Linked DNA regions of Alligator mississippiensis. The protein of the gene in region 3 binds, or shares a complex with, the protein of the main gene of each other region. Links are inferred from orthologs where the notes say so. Each region holds a gene or a part of one and is shown on either strand. Other genes may lie near its edges.

Region 1 (8,035 bases), on a different chromosome or scaffold from region 3:
TTGCACTAGGAAGGCAGCTCTTCCCATATACACACAGCCCACTGGAATGGGCCATTCAGTTCAACATTGGTTTTGTTACTTGTGTTACCACCAGGCTGAAGAGCCCTGCTCCTGGACCCGGGCCATTTTATGCTAGGACACTATACAAACCGAACAGAGACAGTGCCTGTCCCACAGAACTTACAGTGATGATACAGACTAAAGCCTGATCCAAACTGCCTTCAGCTACTCATGCCCCTTGTTAAGTCAGGTGCTGCATGGGACGGCCCTGGACAGTGAAGTCCTCGGTCCAAGTTGAGATACAGCTTGGATAAGAGCACTGCAAGCTCTTCCTCTACTCCCACCCTGCAGACTGACCTGAAGCAACAACTATGATTGCAAGAGCAGCTCTGTCTCCAGGACCGTTCATTCCCTCACCTCTGCAGTAGGTACAAAGTAATAACAGCTTGGCAAGGGGGATGCTAGTGCAGAAACAGGCCGCAACTCCACAGCATTACCATCCTTTGTCACTACTGACCTGGGTAAGACTCATATTGAGATAACAGCACAGGGAGTCAGCCACAGGAGAAGGTGCTGTGAAGGGAGGTGAGTGGCAGAAGCAGGAAGCCCCTTAGGGCTGAATCATGTGCAGGCAAGTGCCTCAAGACTAGTACTGTTTTATGCTACATTTTGGGCTGCAATTAATTTTTGCTGAAGGGGTTATAAATTCCAGGAAGGAAAAATGCCAAACAAGAAACGACAACTTACCTTCATTAAAGCTATCAGGAACATTGGCCACAAGGAGGCACAGGAACCAGGCTCCATTTTTAACATGAAGTAGGGCTTCTGCCACATCGACTATGGGCAACAGTGAAGGCAGCTCTGAATGGAAACAGGATTTTAAAAGCCATTGTTTTCAGTCTAAAACAAGCTCTGAAATTAAAACTGTGTCAGTCACATGCTGACCATTTAAAAGTGATGGTACGGAGAGGTCCGTAAGTAAAGGACTGCACACCTGCTTGCAAAATACACAGAACGTCTGCTGCCTCCTCCAAGTAGACCGGGCTCTCGAAGAGCTCCGAAGACTTGAGGAAAAATTCACCATTTGACTCCGACACCTGGAATAGGAGGTTATCATCATAATACAAGTGTAATAAAGTGAGTAAACAGTATAACTCAGTTACTTCACATCAAATTCCCGTGGATTTGAACGCAAAGGATTAACTATGTGAAAACGGACCCAGCACACTTGCAACATGCCCAGTTTATTATGATTGTTTGTAATAAAGTTGCCTAAAAACCAGAGAATTGCTAAAAAATATTTAAGCAGGCACCTAGGCCAGGTGAACGTAGCTCCGAATTGTCATGAGAGAAACTGGAGAAACCAATCGAGGTGTATTTGTTCCCAAAACGTGGGATACCAATTTAAGCTTTTGTTGTTAGTTTGGAAACCCCGGCTATGTAGATGCTAGTAACTAAAAACACCTCCATGCCCCTGCCTTAAATAAAACAAAATGTGACCGAACAAAAAGGATCTCCATTGCCCCAAGCATAAAGCGCAGGCCTGAAGCCATGTGCACCCATGCTTGATTTTTTTTCCACGTCCACCAACATCAATCCACGCACGTGGTAAGGAATGAAACAGAAATTCACCTTGTTCATAATCGCTAACAGCTCGCTAAGCACAAGCCGAAGCCGGCGCGGGGAATCGCTGTGCTCGAACTCCAACGTCAGACCGTGCTGAAGCTGCGAAACCAAGATGCTTTCTCCGCTACCTCCTCCGAGTTTGAGCCTAATAGATCATTGAAATGTGAAAACAGCTGTTCAAAAAAGCCACAGAAACCAGGTGCCTTTTGGTGAAAACAAACAGACAATGCATTCGCACTCGCTCATTCGACAAATATTCTTTGCTGGGGGTCCAGCTAGCCAGAGAGCAGCACCGGGACTTTGGCACCATCGAGTTTCAAACACCAAACCCACCTGAATGGCAAAGTTAACCCGCTGTCAAAACACAGGTGTGTCTTGCGATCTGCACACAAACCACAGTCAAGCAAGCATACTCGTACAACCCTGGCTCTCTGTTTTCACCTCAGAAGACAGGGCTTGAGGAAGCCTCTATTTCTTAACCTACTGGAAGCCTCATAGTCTTCTCTTTGCCCTGGTCCAGAGAGATGGGTCTTCATTTAATGCGCATCACTGTCCCTTGGCCAGGTGCTGGGTATGACGCTCGAAGCTAAATAAATACGTAAACAAATCCCACCCTCCTTCCTCCAACGTCATCCTACCGAGCCCGAGGAACAAGTAACGAGCTGCAACAGTAAGGCAAAGCCGCGTCAGGACAAGAACGGGACGCGGGCAACAGTCAAACGAAGCCCTCGCAAGACACGAGCGTGCAGACCGCGCGTATCCTCTCGGTTACCGAAGCTGCTGCTCCTTGTTCGCGTCCTGCTCCAGCGCGTGGAAATCCACGGACAGCAAGGCGACGATGGAGTTGACGGCCTCCACGCCGGAAAGGAGCCGCAGGATGAGCTTTTTGTCCTGCGCCCAGCTCTGGCTCTGGTCAGCGGGCGCGCACAAGGCCATGCGCACCAGGCAAGGCAGCAAGAGCCGGAGCTCGGGGTCGCTCAGCGCCGCCAGGCGCACCACGTCCACCTTCTGCATTGCTTCGAACGCGTAGGGGCTGACGAACTGCAGGCTGGAGCACTCCGCCATGGCGCCGGCGCTGCCACCACCGCCGCCCTGCGCGCGAGCGCCAAGAGACAGGTGAGACAACGGTGGGGAAGGGGCTCCGCTCCTCCGCGTCCCGGGACCTCCCTCCCGGCTCTGGCCAAGCGGGGGCTGGAAGAGGTGGTATTCCCCTCACTCCTGCACGAGGGACACGGGGCACGGCCGCATCCCCCAACACCAGCTGCGGGGCCTTGAGCGGCCTCCCTTGGGGGTGGGGGGTCGCTTCCTTGCCGGGCCCCAGCCCCGCCACCCGGGGTGCACCCCACCCCTTGGATGAGGGCCCCGCCACCGACACCGCGCCCGCAACCCACCTCCCCTCAGCCCGGGGCCGCCCCGCCCACTTCCGGCCAGGACCGGCGCACCGCTCCGCGGGCGCACAGGAAATGACGACCCGTAGCGGAAGCGGGGCGGAAGCCGGCGCCAGGCCAGGCGCTCTGCTTCAGGCCCAGGGGCGGGGCGGAAGTCTGGGCAGTGCCGGCTCCAGTGTCCCCTCCCCGCAGGATGGTGCCGGGCCGGGCCCTCGGCTCCGCCTTCGAAATGAAGATGGGGAAGAGAAGGGAACCGAGTCCCGCGGGGGAAGGTGGGGCAGCTGCTGCTGCGTGACAGGGGAAGCTCGTCAGGACAGGCCGCAGCTTGGCTCACTTCAAAGTCAAGGGTCAAAAACAACACAACACAAACAAACAGAGCAGCTGCAGTGCTTCGAAATCAAGGGGCAAAGCCCCCCCAAAAACAAACCAACCAAAAGAAACTGAATTTCTATAAAATCAAGGGGCAAACACCAAGAGAAACTGAATTTGCCCGGCAGCCCGGCCTCGGCTCGGTCCTCGTCAAGAACCCAGTATTTGGGGGCTGGAGGAGAGCCGCTCCTGCTTCACACATCAGGCCCGGCCCTCCTCTCCGTCGTGGTCCACAGCACGAGGGGAAAAAACGTGCGGGGGGTGGAGAGCCACTGACTTCCCACCGCGGCGCGGCGAGGCGAGGCGGACGGGCTCGCCTCGCTCGTCCACGGTCCCCGTGGGGGTTGGAAATAAAGAGACACCACCAATCAAGGCTTCATGAATAATTTATTCCATTTGAATTTTTTTTTTTTAAAAAGTATAAACCTTTTCATTTCCTCAATCACAATTTGTACAACTCAGTGTTTATGGCATTCGGCAGCAATAGTGTTTTTGTTTGTTTGTTTTTGTTCCTTATTTCATTTTCCTGTCACGTTAAATAAGACGACTTGGACCATTTCATGTCGCGGCTGAGCGAGAACTTAGACGCTCCCCTTCTTAAAGTGACCCAGCTGGTGGGAGACGCTTTCTTGAAGCTGACATGTCCAGTAATGATGCCACAATTTGCAGTTTAAATAGGTTTACAAGGTCCGCAAATCCAGTTTATTTGGAAAAAAAAAAACAAAACCAACCCCTAAAGCTATATTAAAACTTCTGAAAAAGTGACCCTGAGGATTGTTGTAGGTCCCAAATCCAGTTTTACTGTAAATGAAGTTTTACTCCATTGAAAATAAAGAGTACACCCCCAAATAAGGTTTTCTAAACAGTTAAGTGTAGTTCTGGGTCTTTCAATTAGTACGAGAGAGAAAGAGAGAGAGACACAGACACTCACTGTCCACTTTTGTGTTTAAGAGATACTGCGAGACAAAACTCTCAGCTGAGAAACTGGATTCTCAGAAGAAACCCAGATCAAAACATTACATGGATAATATTAAAACCGACTGATATGCTATGCCATAGACTGTTGTGCAGCGAACTATATGGTGCAATAGCATTTTTTAAAACCTTTTCCTCCATTACATTTTGAATTTTTAAATAATGCAACATAATATTTTGATATTACAGTATTAATAGTGCTCAATTAAAGACATCTGCAAATCTTTGCAGCAACACATGGTTTAAAAAAAATAAATCATGGAAGGTAGATGTGAAGATGAAAGGAGAGCATCATAATCTGTGCCATACTGACAGCTGAGTAAGAATATAGCTGAGGATTTAAAATTTTAATTTTATTCTGAAAGGGTTAGAAAGTTTTAAAAATGACGTTTACTTTAAAATGCAAGGGCCATACGCAAGTACACTGGGGCCAAACCATAGTGTGTACAAGGAGTCTAATCCATACACTGTTACAGCCCAGCCCAGATAACTGAATGGCTTGCATAAATAGAGTATGGCTAGATTTTTTTTTCCTTTTTGACTGGCTGGAAGAATCCCATGTGTAGCCAATACATTTAATAAAAGTTCCACACCTACTACTTAATAAGAGCTGTCAGGAGCAATGGTAAGCACAGACGTTGCAGCTGAACCTGTCAGTGATCAGTATAAATTATCTTGTTAGCTGGCTGTCACAGTATTATTATTACATCAGTAATTATATGCACTTTAAACAGTGGGATTGATATCATTAGGCAAATTGATTCGTAAGGTGAAAGTCATTTATTTAGAAGTAAAACAAGTACCTTGCTCCTCAGTGCTGGCAGTTTTGATATGTACGCTGTTGGCAAAAAGATGCCAAGCCAGGAAAAATCTCCCAGCATAAATGGTTTCTAAAAAGACTAATCAAAAGGGCCTCCTGATCTCTTCTAGTGGTTACAGTATTTTAATTTCTGTTTTTACTGTATTTGAAAAATACTAGTGGTATATTTCACAGAAGGTTAGCATGACTGCACATTGATCGGGACCTCGCTGTTCAGGCAACTGGCTCACTTACCTGATGAATACAAGTCAGCCACATTTTAAACAGCCCACTGCTAACAAGTTCCACGCTAAAGAGGTTCATTAACATTAAGACAGGTTTAAAAGTAACCAGCTAAAAAAAAAAGGAAGGAAGCTTTGAAGATTCCAGGCTAAAGAGCATTTTCCCCCCTCAGATCTCAGCCACGTGAAAAAATGCTCTCAAACAAAGTAACATGCTACTCAATCTGTGATGCATTAGCATAATAAAAAAAATAATAATAATGCAGACACCCAGTTTTTTTACTTTAATATCAAAATATGCTGACTTCTGATTGCACTAATGTTGTTTTGAAGAAATGACTGAAAACCTTTGTCACCAATTGTACATTTTCTTCATACAAAAACACAAAGGTCGCTAGTATTGTATATACACAATTCAAAGAGGTTTGATGTTTGTTCATATGAAAAGTGATATTTCAGGCAAATATTTTGTATTCACAAAACATGATTTTCAGTACAAGCTACCAAATCCAGTTTTGTAAATACAAACGACTTTGTCCTTGTAGAGGATTTAGCAGTGGGTGCACAAAGGGATCTTAAGTCTTGCTCCTTTAAAAGGCTTAACTGGCAAAACGGATGGCTCGGTTTGTCCAGTGAGACCCGGGTGCTCGGTTATCATGGGTTCCCACATGCAGCTGAGAAGGACGCTGCAGAAGTAAATTCTTAAGCTGGCAGTCGGAGGACAAGGAACCATGAGAAAGGAATTGCTCGTGGGCACCCGTAGGGGCCGTTTTAGAGAAGCATTACAGATTTGGCATGCGCGAGTAAAAGGAAAGAAGTGTTAAGTGAAGAAAGCTGCTGATTGTAGAGGGAGAAGAGGTATATGAAGGCCTCCAGAGTCCCTTCCTCAGGGAGTTTTGAGCCTCCTTGGCACATGCCCTGGCTGGAATCAGAGGCGGAAAAAACTCATACACTGATTACCTGGGACCTTCACCACAGTGCCAAAAATAGATTAAAAAGGAAAATGGATTTTTTTTTTTTTTTTTTACTAGTGGAGTTCAGTCTGAATACCAGAATTCACTGAGAATCTATATACACCACATTTTAGTTAAACACACACCAATCTTAAAGTCAAGATTGACTGTTTTTGCATTTGTGAAATGGCTAGAGCTGAGCTAAGTTTCAGCCTTACAGGAGACTTGGGGGTAATTTCCTCATGTTTTTTCCCATGCCTGGATGTTCGGTTTCATCTTTGCGATGAAATATGTATCTTAAAGAATGCAAGAACGCAATGCCAAGAACTCCTGGTTAGCTACACACTGCGTAGCAGGTATTCTTGGACTAAATAAACCCAGCAACTGGAGCCTGAAGCTAGCCAAAGTTCTGAGCCATAACACAAAATTAAATTGAGAGTTTATTCATTTTATTCTCACTACAAGTTAAACCACCTACAATATCACTTATATATTGCCATTGTTACTCTGTAAAGGTGTGATATAAAATGCTGCAAGACCCGGTACCTTTTCAATTTATATAAACACAGTGAACTTCATTACTGTACATGTACTCTGCAACTACAGCTTAGCTGTAAATCCCCCACACACAATGGTATGGACATTAACCCCTCTATCCCCATTAAACTGTACATCAAGACAATACAAATTTACTGTCCCCACCCACCCCCTTACAAAAAAATAATACTCTAAAAGCAACCTACTGCAACTTTTAATTAAGACGATTACATATATTTTAGACCAATTGCTTTAAAGCAAGAAGGCAGTATAAACCTTCTAGGAAAATTTTTATAAAAGAGGTTAAGAAATATAAGACAATTTATACATTTAAAAACTTACAATAAATAAGAGAGATGCAGGCATTTTCGAATACTAGGTACTATAATCCAATACAAGAACATCTTGATGTTCTGAAGCCATAGGTAGAAACTTATGGTTCCTCATGTCTCTTCTCATCTCCATGCTTTTAATATTCATTAAACATGACTGGGTACTATGGCTCATTACTTTTCACAAATACTGTGACTGGGGAAAATGGTTAATTTTGCTACTAAAAATGTTATAATACATTTTGTCTGATCATCATTCTAAAGAGTCCTGTATAGTCAATGAAACAAAGACAGCAGGGTTATATGTGCCCCATCACAAGTCAAAACAATATTTGTTGGAAGTAACAAGAATTATACCCCATCACAAATGACTTGCACTGAGAAGAAGTGTAACTTAGTCCTGCAATGAAATATCCCTTTTCCTTGTTCTTTTCTTGCAAAGTTCAGATGAAGATCACAGCATATTCATGATAAAGTTATACAATTGATTCAGCACCACAAAATGAACTGGGAGACACGACCGTCTGTCCTGGGTTGCAGGATCACAGGTTAGCCAGGAGAGTGCATTGTACTGTTCCAAAACAAACCTAGAAAGCAAACAAAACTCCCATGAAACCTATACAGCTCTTTCCACTACCACTTTCAGAAAAAAATGTTTCACAAACAAGTAAGACGCATCTCATGACATTGCAGGTTTGCCGTAAGCTAAACACTTGAACAAAAACCCCAACACACACGCATGCACCGAAGTCAGGCTAGTCAGCTCATAAACGGCTAGCCTCCGAGTCACTGTTCTCCGAAGCAGGTCATCAAA
Region 2 (7,159 bases), on a different chromosome or scaffold from region 3:
GACACCATGATCCAATGCAGAAGCCATGGGGCTCTGCCCTGTACCAGGAGTTCATCTTTTTTATCAGTAGGTAGTAGTGCTCTTCTCCTAAACTGCCCCATATCTTCTAGCCTTAGCCACTGCCTCCACACACAAAGGATGCTACATATGAACTGTCTAGAGATGCATTGATGCATTGGTCCATATTGTATCGGCACTGATAAAAGGAAAATTGACATTATTGGCAATTGGCTTTTTTTGGCTAATGTGCCTGATAATGTCGCTGATAAGTGTCACATGCATGTGAGCAGCTGTAGAATGCATATGGCCAGGAGTGCAGCCCAGAAGCTTGGAAAGCAGCATCTGGTCAATAAATCTGTGGGGAGGAAGGGGCATGGTGGTGAGGGGCAGACTGAGGCCCCCGCGGTGACGGAGGGAGTGGGGCTGGGGCAGTTGCTGCCCAGCCAGGATGGGGTGGAGTGTGGGACAGAGCTGTGGCTCATCCAAGGGGTATGGGGGGGGGGGCGCTCCTGCTGGGGCGGGTGGCAGTGGTGCCGGGGGGGGGGGGATTATGGGGGGACTATAGCTACCCCAAAATTTGCCATAGCCACCCCTCCCAGTGCCGTCGTCTGCCCTGTCCCAGCCCCTGCCAGGAAGAGGTTGGCACAGCCCTGGCCCTAAGTGCGCAGCCCACCCTTACCCCACACACAGATCCAGGGGGGGCATGTGCCCCCCACGCTTGCCCCAGGGGTGCGTGCAGAGGCAGGAGCTGCTTCCCCCTCCCCTGGACCAGCTGCAACTCCGTCCCGGCTGTGCAGCGCCTACCCCAGCCCCTGCCTCACTGCAGGGGCCTCAATCTGCCTCCCCTACGCTCCTTCCCCACAACAGACTTACTGGCTGGATGCTGCTCTCCAAACTGCCAGGCTGCATATTGGCAATCAGATCGGTATCAACCGATATAACTGGTTAATAATTGGCCATCTGTAAAGGCCCCCAAATTTTTTATCGATGCACTCCTAGAATGGTCCCATAGTCCCAACATCCATTGTTCCTCCATGTCTAACATCTGTTCACTAGCCTGAACACTCCATGATTCTCCACAGACCTCTAATATGCAATCCCACAGACCACTTATGCTCCAGCACCACATGCAGTCCAATAGCCTGCTTTTCTCAGAGTATCTTGCAGAGATACACAGCCCACCAATTATTCCCACCCCAGGCCTGGCACTACAGCCCCAGAGTCCACTTCCTCCAACCCCTTGTATAACTCCACAGCCTCCCTCCCCTGTACTTCCAAGGCATGTTGCAGAGTTACAGAGACTGAGGGCAGTCACGTTTGCCTGGCAATGCACTGGGCTAATTAGCAAAAGAGTTAGTAGACAGAGAGCCACCTCAGATCTTTTATTTGGGAAGGCCCTGCCTGGACTGGGTGCTAGATCCAGCCAGCATTTGGAGAATTCTGGTTTAACTGGTTACAGTCTTTCTTTACTCTCCCCACCCTTTCCTCACTTAATAGATAAGCTGTTGCTTGAAATAAAGTAAAAAGGTTAAAAGTGATGAAAGTCTTCCAGCACATTAACTTTAATTTAAAGACTGTCTTGTAACTTGGGAACAACTGACCTGCCCTATATACACACACGTGCAGATATACATACAAGTGCACATACACATATATATGCACGCAGACAGGTACAGGTACATGTGTGTGCACTGTGCACATGTATTGTGAATCTGTTGGTTCATTTCCTCCTACCTGCTGTTTGTCTGTCTCTGGGCTACTTATTGCTTGGTTTGTGTCCTCTCTTCATAGATTTCATAGACATTAGGGGCTGGAAGGGATTTCATGAAATCATTGAGTCCAGCCCCCCTGCCAGAGGCAGGAAGTCTGCAGGGATCAAATGATTCCAGCAAGATAAGCATCCAGGCGCCTTTTGAATGAGTCCACAGTAGGTGCTTGCACCAACCAGCTCTGGGGGGAGTCTGTTCCAGACCCTGGGCACACGGACTGTAAAGTTTTTTTTTTTTTTATGTCCAGTCTAAATCGGCCTTCCAGGAGTTTGTGGCCATTATACCTAGTTATCCCTTGGGGGGCCCTGGTGAACAACAGTTCTCCCGGATCCTAATGTGCCCCCCCCTTATAGACTTATACTTCTCTTCTTAGACTAAACTTACATATACCCAGCCATAGGCGACATAGCCACAGGTAGAGGGTGCACAGAGGAGCACGAGCCCCCCCTGACAGCAGACACTGATGCTGTTGGTAAGGTTGGTGCCCCCCGACAGGGCTGCCACCGTGGTGGCTTATGCAGGCACCCCCCCAAATTCAGGAGGTGCCAGTCACTCACGTACCCAGCACTACCGCAAATAAAGAGCAGCTCTTCACAGAGCCATATCTTTCAGCTTGACCCTAACATACTGTTAACCCAGTAACATGCTTGCATTTAGCTCAGGTTTGACTGCCCAAAATGCATCTTCAAAGGAAAAACGAACAGGTGAAAAGGGGTCTGGTAATTCAGGTGAGGCTCAAGAACCTGAACCATTAGAGATGGAAAAGCCCTATCTGGTTCACTGCCCAGAAAAGCAAACAGAAATGAATCCCTGGCTAATGCTTACTGTAAGGCAGGGGTGACAAAGTGAGCTGGCCCCGTGCACCAGATGAGTGACACGGGACTGGTCCACAGGCTGGATCGGGTCCAGGGACTGCCCCTCCCCCCCAGCCAGGCGTGTCAGATCCAGCCCCCGCGTGCAGCACAGGTCCTGGATCTGGCAGGTGGCGGGACCCACAGGCCCCTGCCCCGCAGCCGGTGCCGGTGCCACTGTGGCTGGTGCGGGACTGCACTGCACTGCTCCGCTCTAGGACCCGTGCTGCATGCGACACCTGCCTCGGGCCGGCTACAGCAGGTGCTGCAAGCACTGCATCGGCTTGCTAGGAGGAGGGGGGTGGGGAGGGATCCCAAATCGGCCCTGCACACGTGCTATTTGCAGCCCAGATCGCTTACCCCTGGCCGCGCCGGCCGGCCAGTCCGTCCAGCTCGCGGTCCCCCCGGCGCCGCGCGCTGCGCCCGCGGGTTCCGCCCGGCAGCGCGCGCCGCAGGAAGGGGCGGGGCCGCTGTGACGTCAGCGCCGCGCGGGGGCCGGAGCTGCGCCACGGGTGAGCGGCTGCGGGGAGCGGGGCCGGCGGTCACGTGGTTCCGAGGTGGGGGAGTCACATGCTTCCGGGGGGGTGCTGACCTAGGTTGGAGCCCCCAGCTCTTGACTGGGCTGGGAAGGGGCACCAGCTCCCCCCTGGGGAAAGGGGCTGCATCACAATGGGGGGCCTGTGACGCGTGTGCGTTGCGGGGCCAATCCGGGCGCGCCGGGCGGGGGGTGGGCAGTGCTGGTTTGGGCCCCGGGCGGGGCTGGCGGTGGGGTCTCCGCGGCCCCGGGTGCACCCCTCGGGCTCCTGGCGCCTCGGGCTGCGCCGCGCCTGCCCACCGTCATTTTGCCGCCTTCCCTTGTCCCCCCGGCCTGTTTCTCTCTGCCAGGGTGGCCGGGTGTACGAGAGCCATCCGAATTGTACCATAACGTCAACCCTCGTAGGATAATAATAGGAGAAGTGCTCAAAGCATAGCGCAATTTTTGAGGCAGGTCTTTGGCGCAGCGGATGCAAAACCCAGGTCACTTTCAGGGAGCCTTAACTGACTTTATTTTGTTTTGCTTTTTTTAATTCAATATATTTCATGTTCTAGGTCAAAGCACCCAAATCAGTTCCGAATCATATTGGTTGAGCAGAGCTCAATCGGTCCAAAAGCCTTATCGATGGACCAGGCAGGACTCAATCATTCTGAATGCTGTGTATGGTGCTACAACTGGTGAACATCCTCCTTCCCAGACCAATTACTCTGGGACTTAAGATGCTCCCAAACCCATTGGCAGGTATCCTACGTGTAGGTCCAAGCAAGCTCAGAGGTCTTGGGGTTTGGATGCCCCCATCATACTTGATTTGATTCAAAAGGCTGAGAAATGATTTTTGGTCAACCCATTCTTATGACTGCTTGCTTCAAAACAAGGAGATGTTTCAACTTTGACTCTGTTCTCACTCACTCCCTGGCAAGTTACAGGAAGCAGTATAAAGTAAATAAACATTTGCATACTTATTTGCATATTTTTTCAGTGTACAATAGTTTTTCAGCAAATGCAATAATTTTGAGCTTCCGACAGGATAATTTCATGTTTAAGACCTGGCAACGCTGCTCTCTGCAGAATAAGCAATGTCTCAAGCCTGGTAGCCCTTTCCGCTAGACCCTCACCCCGTTCTTCTGCTGCCCTTTGCGAACTGTCAGGGTTGGTTGAAAGGGGTCCATTCAAATAGTTTGGGCACCAAAGCCTGGTTTTTAATTCAGTTTCTGGCATTCTTCATCTGAATCTCTCAAAAGAACTTCATATGAAGTTATATAGAACCTTCTGACTAATTTTTCTCTGTTAATGGGGAAGCTGAGGCACAGAAGTTAAGCATTTAGTTTGTTGTCGCACAGTAAATTGGTGGAAATATAGCTTAGGTCACTTGAGCTGCATGTCCTAAACGCACGGGTACTGTTTTGTACTGCTCTGCCTATTTGTTGGAGCAGACGTTCCATTTTTTAAAAACCTAATTGTCCTGGCACATGTTAAATTGAAAGAAATATTGTTATCAAAGATGCCCAAGACTCTGCCCAACACAAAGTCCATCTATGATCAAAGCCTTATTCAGAAATTAGGACCAAAATGTTTCCATCTTTTAAAAAAAAATTAACTTTCTTGGGAAACATCTGTTCTTTGAACAAAGATGCATAGGTCTGTCCCACAACCCAAACACTGCTGTGCAGTGAAGGTGATTTAATTGGCATTTACTCCATGTCCTGGGAAATACTGAAAAGCAAACAAACACGATAACTGTGAAGTTATTTTTGTTTTTTGAGTTTTAGTTAACAAAAGTGGCATTCATACCATGGGTAAATTTGTTTCTGAGATCTGGTCTTTAACCTATTCAGTATAGCAGATGATGTTGCTCATTATTGTATTACAGAAGCAGCTTGAGGCTCCAGCTGAAATAAGTAAATGTCTGTCCTGCCCCAAGGAGTCTGCAGTTTGAATGGACAAGAGAAGTAATTTGATAGGGAAGTGGGAAAATATAAGCTACAAAATATAAGCTACAAGCAGAGTGGAAAGCACGATGGTTTGTATAATGGGACAGCAGGAGTGTAGCAGGGCAACTCCATGCCCAGGGCACCATTGGCTGTTGTGGTGATGATCATGGCAGCTCTTGCTGCGGTTGTGGCTATTTTATGCCCCACTCTACAAAGGCAGCATCTAGAACTGTTGCCACTGGTCTCTTCCGCTTCAGTCCCCATTATAGGGAAGAAGGGAAAGGGCCCTCTAAAGAGGAACCAGGGTGGAGGCCACATCTTTAAGAGCAGTATAAAGGAAGGGCTTAGCAGCAGGGGAAGCAGAAGGCTCTGGCTGGACCAGGAAGAATGGAAACCCAGGAAAACTGACTAGGATAAGCGTTAGGAAAACAGGAGGAGGCCTCACAGGCCCAAAATAGAGGCTAGAGGTTCCATTAGGGCTCTAGAGGCTAGGCTAGATGCATCAAAGGGCAGGGACTAGTCTGGGGAAGAAGAACCCAGAGGCCTTACCTGGGAGATGTCATAGCTGAGAATGTGACATACCAGGGGAGCCAGTAAAGCCGTAAACCCTGTCAGCTGGACTCTCATTTCCTTCTACCTGCACGCTCTGTAAAGTCAAGATGTGGTTTGGTGAGATTAGTAAGGACACGATGTCATAGTTTCATAGTTGGTAGGGTCGGAAGGGACCTAAGCAGATTATCAAGTCTGACCCCCTGCCATGGGCATGAAAGAATGCTGGGGTCAGACAACCCCGGCAAGGTGTCTATCCAGCCTCCTTTTGAAGACCCCCAGGATAGAAGTGAGCACCACTTCCCTTGGAAGTTGGTTCCAGATCCTAGCCGCCCTGACTGTGAAGTAGTGCCTCCTGATATCTAGCCTGAATCTACTCTCTGTCAACTTATGGCCATTATTCCTTGTTACTCTCAGTAGTGCTCGGGGGAACAGGGACTCTCCCATTGCCTGCCGGTCTCCCTTGGCCAGTTCATAGACAGCCACCAGATGCCCTCTCAGCCTTCTCTTGTGGAGGCTGAACAGGTTCAGGTCTCGTAGCCTCTCCTTGTAGGGCCTGCCTTGCTGCCCCCTGATCATGCAAGTGGCCCTCCTCTGGACCCTCTTGATGTTGTCCACATCCCTCCTGAAGTGCGGTGCCCAGAACTAGGCGCAGTACTACAACTACAGCCTGACCAATGTCATATAGAGGGGGAGGATCACCTCCTTGGACCTGCTCATGATGCATCTGTGGATGCAAGGTGTGATTAGCCTTCCTGACTGCGTCCCCACATTGGCGGCCCATGTTCATCTTGGAGTCTATAATGACTCCAAGATCCTTTTCTGCCTCTGTGGTGACGAGAAGGGAGTTCTCCAGCCTCTAGGTATGCTGCTGGTTCTTTCTCTCTAGGCGCAGCACCCTGCACTTGTCAGTATTGAATCCCATCTTATTCTCATCCACCCACTCCTGTAACCTGTCCAGATCCAATTGCAGCCTATTCTTCCCTTCTAGCGTTCCCACTTCTCCCCACATCTTAGTGTCATCTGTGAATTTGAACAAGGTGCTTTTCACCCCCTCGTCCAAGTCTCTGATGAAGATGTTGAACAGTACAGACCCGAGGACCGAGCCCTGGGGGACCCCACTGCCGACATCCCTCCAGGTCAAAAATGACCCATCCACCACCACTCTCTGGGTGCAGCCCTCCAGCAAATTGGCGACCCATCTGACTGTGTAGGCATTGACACCACAATCTCCTAATTTTTTAACAAGAATGGGGTGAGAGACAGTGTGGAATGCCTTCCTAAAGTCCAGAAAGACTATGTCCACCGTGACACCTGCATCCAAGGATTTTGTGACCTGGTCATGGAAGGCCACCAGGTCGGTCTGACAGGACCTGCCTCTAATGAACCCATGCTGGTTGCCCCTAAACATACACTCCCCTGCTTGTCCCTTGCAGATGTGCACCTGGATAATTTTCTCAAAGAGCTTCCCCAGGACCAAGGTAAGACTAACAGGCCTATAATTTCCTGGGTCTTCCTTCCTCC
Region 3 (7,553 bases):
GCTGGCCAGACGCAGAGCCGGGGCAGGTGGGGGTGGCGGCAGCCAGATGTGGAGTGGGGAGGTGGCAGCAGTTACATGTGGAGCAGCAACAGCAGCAGGGTTCAGCGCGGAGCAAAGCTCGGCACAGCAGAGCAATGGCAGTGCAGGGCAGCCCACGCGGAGCGGCCGTGGCAGCTGCCGTGTGCGAGCTTTCCCCTGCGTCCGGCCGGCCAGAAATTCCAGTTAACAGAGTATTCTGGCTAGTTAAATGTCAGATAGCAGAGATTTTACTGTACTGAGTGCCAACCTATGCCATCTACACCTTCCTCAGACAAAGGTACTCAACACCTGTGGAAGTCAGCCCAACCTTTCTTTGCCTGAGGAAAAGAAAAGCTACAGATTGTCCCTGTACGCTGGGACATGACAGTCCGAGCCGGAGGGAGGAAAACTTGGTAAAGTGGCTACAAAGAATGATAACTAAAATAATTGAAATGGAAGGCACCTTAAGAGGTCTTCTAAATGAATCCTCTGCTCAAAGCAGGATCCTCTAAACCAGTGACCCAAGGGGTGATTTCAAGGGGTGCCTTGAAATCCTATCGGGGGGGCACACAACACTAGCACTGTTAGGTGTACAAACATGATTCACATGATGAACCAGGGTGGACAAAAATCAATGATTTTTTTTAATTAAAAGTTGAATTTTTTTATTTAAATCAGATTTTTCTGATTGAATCATATCGATTTTTTTCTTACGATTTTTAAAAAATAAACCTACATAAAAATAGTTTAAACTTAAGATATGTTAGAGCTCAAAGATATCATCATGGAATAGGGATTATAACTTCTAATTATATACTATTTGAAACAATATATTCATGTAACCTTTTTAGAGAAGCTTTATAAATAGGTCAAAACAGGCCATAGACTATATTAGGGTCCAATCTTATGGGGTTCCCAAAGGATTCTCCAATGATTAGTAAGGATTAAAGAAAACTATTCTACCCAGTGGAACTCAGTGCTCAGTCTAGAAAATCCCATTAAGCATCTCTGTGATGTTTAGTTTCAGTTCTCAGACTGTGGATTTGTCTCTCCAGAGGTAACACCCCTGTTAACAGCAGTACACAGAGATGAGAGAGAACCGACCCAATTACCTACGGATCAGCCCTCTTGTCTCGGCAAGTTTGTGTATGCAGAGTCAAGCTTTTGCCCCACTCTAAAAGTGCAAAGTTTCAAAAAGTTAAATGAATAAAGGATTGTTGGGGGTGGAGTAGATCTGGGCAAGGAGGAAGAGTCTAGACATAATGCAAGGACGGGATGGCAATAGAAACAAAAGAAACATTTTTAGCAGAATATTCCAAAAGTCTTGAGGAATAAGTTTCTGAGTATAGCTTCTTCACTAATTTGAGATCTAGCGAGGGAATGATATGGTAGAAGGGAAAACCTATCATGGCAGCAGGCTGGCCAAGCCATAAAAGAGACCCAGGTTGGGAATATTTTAATGAAGGTTATATCAAACATCAAGAATGCACTTTTTGTAGAAAATAATGATTAAAATTGAGGGTTCTTGATTTAAAACAACTGTATTTAAATCAAAACCACCCTCTGATGAACCTAGAAATTTCAAATAGGAATCCTTGGGTTAAACACATTTAGATCTGTTATGATCTTTCTGAGTTCTTTGCATCAAAAAACCCGCTCTATGATTTTTCCATAGTTAAAAATGTGTGAACAACAAAACTGCCATTTACAGAATGACATCATAGGTCCAATTGCCCAGGCTCTTGTGTCATGGGGCAGCAGAGAGCAGATGCTGAAAGGGAGAGTGAACAAGGCATGATAAGGGATTTTTCCCACTCTTCCTCTCACTTGCAGCCTCCAGGCATTTTCTGAGGGGTGCCCCATGTCTAACAAGGTTGAGAATCAACCTCTAAAATTGTCTAACATGCATTTAAAAAAAAAACCAAAAAAACCCCACTTTCCAGCACCAGAGGTTTTGCAGCCTTTTCAGGTCACCTCTTCCAGTGCTCAACCAGCCTCGCAGTTAGAAAGTTCTTCCTAACATCTAACCTATATCTCCTGTGTTGCACGTCAGAGGCCATTACTTCTTGTCCTGTAAACAAAGACAACAGTTGATGGCCGTCTGCTTTACGACAGCCCTGGGCATATCTGAACAGAGTTATCTACTGCAAAAGAAGAGCGGTTACAAAGAGGAGGGCGATCAGGACTGGGTTATCTGACTAGACAGTGTTATATCAGAGCTTTCCTCCCCATAAGTTTCTCTAGTGCCCTGTAAACTCAGGTGGAAATCGATGCTCAGCTGCTCCCAGCACTGAGCAGAGACGCTCACCAACCTGCCGTGCCCTCCGCAGCCCCAGCTCCCTGCCCAAGATGCACCTCCAACACTTCCCTCCTAAACTGCCCCCCCAGACCCAAGATGCCCCTACATCATCCCCCCAAACTGCCCCCAGCGCCACCCCAGATGAAATGCCCCTCCACTGCCACCCAAGAACTTCACCCAGTGTCAAACCGGTCCCAAGATACCCCTCCACCACCCCCAAAAACTGCCCCCAGTGCCACCCCAGCCCCAAGATGCCCCTCTACTATCCCCCAAAATTGCCCCCAGGGCCACCCCAACAAACTACTTCAGTGCCACCCCAGCCTCAAGATACCCTTCCACCATCCCCCAAAACCACCCCAGCCTCCAAACACCCCTTTCCCTCAAAAAACCACCCGAGCCCCAAAATACCCCTCCACCATCCCCCCAAACCACCCCAGTGCCACCCCAGCCCCCATATACCCCTCCCCCAAAACGGCCACGCTCCTCCCCCGCCCCCCCGGTGCACACAAGCCTGTTTGGGGCCTTAATACAGGCATGAACCCCCAGCCTAGGCCCCTCCTGTGCCTCAGTTTCCCCATGTGCAGGACGGGGCCCTCCAGCAAGGTGGGGAGGGGGAGCAGGGGCCAAGGCTGAGGCTCCCCAGGACACAGGAGGGGGAAGGACAAGAGAGCCCCCCCCCGGCCTGCACCGCCCCACTCACCAGCTTCATGCTGCCGGCCTCTTCCCCCCTGCCCCTTCCTGCCCTGCCTCTTCCCCCTCCCAGCGCGCGGGGCACGCTGGGACCTGTAGTCCCTCCCCGCCTCCTCAGCCGGCGGATGAGGTCATGCCCGGGAGGCATGCCGGGAGCTGTAGTCGGCCGGCCGCGCTCCCTGATTGGCGGGCCGCGGGGCACGCCGGGAGTTGCAGTCCGCGGGCCGCCCGCCGTCCGCCGCCCTGGGGAGCGGCGAACTACAAGTCCCAGGGCCGCGGCGCGGCGGCAGGTGGGCGCTCGGATGTTGATATCAACATGGCGCTCGTCAGGCAGACAAAGACGGTCCGTCTGGGGTGAGCCCTGAAAGGGGGTGTGAGGGGGAGGGAGGGGTTGCCTGTGTATCCTCCTCACTTCGTATTTCGGGGGGGCTGAGGGGGTGGCACCCCTTCACTGTATGTGGTGGGGATCCCCTCGTGTGTCTGGGGTTGGGGGTCGCAACCCTTCACTCTGCGTGCGTGTGTGTGTATGTGTGTGTGTGTGTGTGTGTGTGCGTGCGTGTGTGCGGGGGGGGGTCTGTGTGTGTCTCCTTGTTACTTTGTAAATTTTTTTTTGGGGGGGGGGGCTGGGGGGTGAAGCCCCTACGTGGTTGTGTCTGGGGCTTGGGGTGTGAGGAAAGGTTGGGGGGGCAAATCCCTTCATGGGTCTGGGATTGGGGGGGTGGGGGTTAAATCCCTTCTTGGGTTTGGGACTTGGGAGGGGGGGGTTAAATCCCTTTGTGGGTCTGGGATGGGGGGGGTTAAATGCCTTCGTGGGTCTGGGAATTGGGGGGGCAGGGGTTAAATCCCTTCGTGGGTCTGGGCCTGGGGGGGGGGGGCGTTAAATCCCTTCATGGGTTTGGGACTTGTGCGGGGCGTTTAAATGCCATCATGGGTTTGGGACTGGGGGGGGGGGGTTAAATCCCTTCATGGGTTTGGGACTTGTGGGGGGCGTTTAAATGCCATCATGGGTTTGGGACTGGGGGGGGGGGTTTAAATCCCTTCATGGGTTTGGGACTTGTGGGGGGGGGGTTAAGTCCCTTTGTGGGTCTGGGACATGGGGTGTGAGGAGAGGCTGGGGCGGGTGGTGAAATCCCTTCCTGGCGCGTGTCCGGGATGCTGGGTGTGAGGAGAGGCTGGAGGGGTGAAATCCCTTCCTGTGTCCGGGACTTCGGGTGTGAGGAGAGGTGGCGGGGGGTGAAATCACTTCACGTGCCCGGGACGTGGGGTGTAGGGCAAGGCTGGTGCGCGTCCGGGATGCTGGGTGTGAGGAGAAACGGGGGGGCAGCGTCCCCTCGTATTTCAGGGGGAGGTTGGGGCTGGGAAGAGGGTGAAACTCCCTCCTTCTCTATGTCCAGGTTGGAGAGGGGTGAGGGGGGCAGCGTCTGCCTTCGTACGCTCATGACTTTGTTTTTCAGGGGGAGACTGGGGCTGGGAGAAGGAGAAATCCCTTCCCCACATGTGGAGCATGAGGAGACATTGGGCGGAGGGTGGGGGGATGTTTGCCTTCATATCCTCATGACTTGGTATTTTAGGGAGAGGCTGGGGCTTGGGAAATCTCTTCTCCCTGCACATCTGGGATGTGTGGGGCCCTGAAACTGCCCTAGGGAAGAGTGGCTGCTGCTGCTGGGGGCGGTGGGAGGGAGGAAAATGCCGCATGGCTGCTCTTTTTTTTTTTTTTTTTTTCTTTTTTTATCCTGGCCCTATGCTTTTTTGGCTTTGCCGCGGAGTTAGAATAATACCGGCTGGGAGTCGCGTCTTCCTTCAGGAACTGCGAAACGCAGGAGCCCGGCAGAGCTTTTTGCCCCCTCTGTGTTGGCCGGTGGGTTTATTGGTGGGAAGTGGCAGTTAGAAGTGTCGCTGAATCCATCTGCAGGGCATTTCTTTGGAAACAGTTTCTGCAGCAGCTCCGTTTCTCTCTGGCTTCTGGCCCTTTGGCGGTGGGTGATGCTTTCCCCAACCCCCTTCACATGGGGGAGGGGGAGGATGCCTTTTTTTGGCGGGGGGAAGCTTGCTTGTGCGGGGGTGATATTTCCAAGTCGCTGAAGTCGGGTATATTTTGGTTGCTTCTGGAGTTTTTTGTGGCATCGAGGGAAGTGCAAAATCTATACCAACTGAAAGCTGTGGGTTTTAACCTGGGGAAGGAAGTGTTAAACTGATGGGCAGAGTCGTGATGTGAGAACAGCGAGTCTGATGGGCACTGGCCGAGTGCCCCAGAGGCCAGAGGGGATAGTGGAGAAGGACCCAGTGAAAGGGATGACATTTGCATGGTTTGACACCCCAGAAAATAAAATTGTCATATAAACGGTTTGTGCTAAGCAGACAACTTTTGGGCTTGCAAAATCCTGGAGTGGCTGTCTGGGTCCTGTGATATAGCTAACTCATTTCTGCAGGGCTCATCAGGTGCAAGAGCCTCTCTCTGCTTCCTTCCTCGGATGGTGCAGCTGGCATCTGATTTCCTCCATAGATGGGAGAGGAGGAGCCCAGTGCAGTTTTTTTTTTTTTTGTTTTTTTTTTCCCCCCTGAGATGATTGCATTTTCTTTGGCCTTGCCGTACCCTGCCTCATTAGTAGGAACTGCCTTTCTCTTTATTTATCTAACATTAGGCCAGGCTCACAGGGATGCTGGTGAGAGGGGAGTGGGTGTATGTGGATATATAACTCTGAAGACTTTTCTTTAGTCGCTGTAAGATCATGCTGGGGTATGGTCCTGCAACAGCAGACCGTAAACTTTGTTTATTTGTGTGCGTCTTGACTCTCCTTCTGCTCTTTCAGCTCCAAATCCTTAAGGAGAAGGTAGGGAGGCAGAAGGTGTGTGGGGTGGGGAGAGGGCAGAAGGTGTGTGGGGTGGGGAGCAGTACATTACATGTACTGATATTTTGAACTTTTTTAGCTTCAGGCAGATTTATATTTCTGGTTGTGAAAATTATCTGCTGTCTCTGTGTCCTCAGAGCTCTGGGTTCTCTGAGGTGGGACAATTCTGCTCAAACTAAAGTGAAATGCTTGCATCTGGGGATGCCGTGTCCCCTTCTGACACACAAGTTCTTCGTCTTTAACCCTGAGTCAGGCACAGCTTTCTGTACAGACAGAATTGTCTAGCGGGCTGAGCATGGGATCAGGAACAAGGACGTGGTGTTTAACTCTGCTGTGCCTGTTCTCTTAATCTTCCTCCCATTCTGTTAGCACTGTTGCTAGCAGTCAGCCATCAGCATTTTTAATCCTGTGTCATCTACCTCCGTTCAGAGCAGGTCTAGACGACATTGTAGCATGTGGGCTGCCAGGCATTCTTCCTGGGCATGAAACTGCAATGTTGCCAGAGAATTGGTGGGAAATTCTCAGAAAATCCTAGGTAGCTGAGACATTCCTCTTTCTCCCACTAATTTTGGCAAGTTGCTTCAGTCTTGAAAGCATATTCCGTTGTACAAGCACAACTATAATAGTTTGTGCCTACATGGCCACCTGGTAACGAGCTCCCGTTGTGCTAGATGCTCTGCAGAGTGGACATGGACCCTTCCTGCTCAGAGAAGTTTACCCTATGCCTGTTTCCATGTCTGTCATGCAAGGATTTCTTCTGCTCTCCTTCAGAGAGGTGGGGCCAGCAAATGTCTGAGCAGTGCTTGGAAAATGAAATCCCAAGTGTTCCCTGATGCACTCATTTTGTCATGATAATGAAGTGGCATATGCGTAAGTTCAGGGAGGAGTTTGAATTGTTCTCTGCCTTTGTTTCGGGAGCTAAGGAAACCCTGGGACTAAAGAAATTCAAGTTTCTGTAGTGAAATGCACTTGTTCTGCTAACACTTTAGCCAGTGTGTGCCTTATGCAGTCTGGACCTTCAGTGTGCAGTTCTGGGGAGTGGGGAAGACTCTAGATAAGTGTGTGTGGTGGGAGCTGGGGGAATGAATATTATTCTGATGCAAGAAACAGTTTAACTTAAAGCATGCTGATGCCTCCCTTCCATAAACAGGGATTTTTGAAGATTGCCTTTTATGCTAACAGCTACTGGTTGCATGAGAGATTCCTGAGTGTAGTCCTTTCTGTGCAGCGCTCATAGGGTTTTGAATGCAGGATCAGAGCAGTTTATGGGCATGTTCTTCACCTTCAGGGAACTTCAGGATTTGGAGTCAATCAGGTTAAAAAATGCTGTCAGCGTAAAAATCTTATTGCAGCAGAACAGATAACTTTACCTGTCTTACAGATAACTTAATGCAGTTTGTTTGTTGTCTGGGCTGCTCCCAGCTGGGATGCTTTTATAGTCAGTGCAGTCAATGTCACTTTACATTGATTTTAATGCAGCTTCACGCTGGCTCTGGTAACCACCTACAACTCCTTGTGGGATTGGGCCTTTAGTTTATACATGTCCTGATGGTATTACCTTGTGTGTTCACATAAGTGTCATATTACTGACAAGGTTTTTGGTTGATTTTTGTGGGGGGGGGGGGGAGAGGGTCTTTTAAACTATATGCCTCTTAAGTTGATTTGGTAATGGAGTATTCAGTCAAGAGCTGGAAACT

What was found.
Region 1: INTS9 (region 3) and INTS2 share a complex: the UniProt entries of both Homo sapiens proteins name them as parts of the integrator complex. The link is inferred for Alligator mississippiensis from reciprocal best matches to the Homo sapiens genes INTS9 and INTS2.
Region 2: INTS9 (region 3) and INTS12 share a complex: the UniProt entries of both Homo sapiens proteins name them as parts of the integrator complex. The link is inferred for Alligator mississippiensis from reciprocal best matches to the Homo sapiens genes INTS9 and INTS12.

What each region holds. Positions count from the first base shown.
Region 1 is NC_081837.1:3,838,575-3,846,609, reverse strand, and holds the start of INTS2 (integrator complex subunit 2), read right to left. Parts: upstream 3,078-8,035; 5' UTR 3,018-3,077; intron 2,719-3,017; 5' UTR 2,692-2,718; coding exon 2,399-2,691; intron 1,772-2,398; coding exon 1,633-1,771; intron 1,098-1,632; coding exon 995-1,097; intron 862-994; coding exon 748-861; intron 1-747. Other genes in the region: MED13 (mediator of RNA polymerase II transcription subunit 13), read right to left, coding at 7,676-7,808. UniProt on the Homo sapiens protein: Component of the integrator complex, a multiprotein complex that terminates RNA polymerase II (Pol II) transcription in the promoter-proximal region of genes.
Region 2 is NC_081825.1:131,326,559-131,333,717, reverse strand, and holds the start of INTS12 (integrator complex subunit 12), read right to left. Parts: upstream 3,065-7,159; 5' UTR 2,981-3,064; intron 1-2,980. UniProt on the Homo sapiens protein: Component of the integrator complex, a multiprotein complex that terminates RNA polymerase II (Pol II) transcription in the promoter-proximal region of genes.
Region 3 is NC_081824.1:6,034,802-6,042,354, forward strand, and holds the start of INTS9 (integrator complex subunit 9), read right to left. Parts: upstream 3,082-7,553; 5' UTR 3,027-3,081; coding exon 3,018-3,026; intron 1-3,017. Other genes in the region: HMBOX1 (homeobox-containing protein 1), read left to right, coding at 3,310-3,350. UniProt on the Homo sapiens protein: Component of the integrator complex, a multiprotein complex that terminates RNA polymerase II (Pol II) transcription in the promoter-proximal region of genes.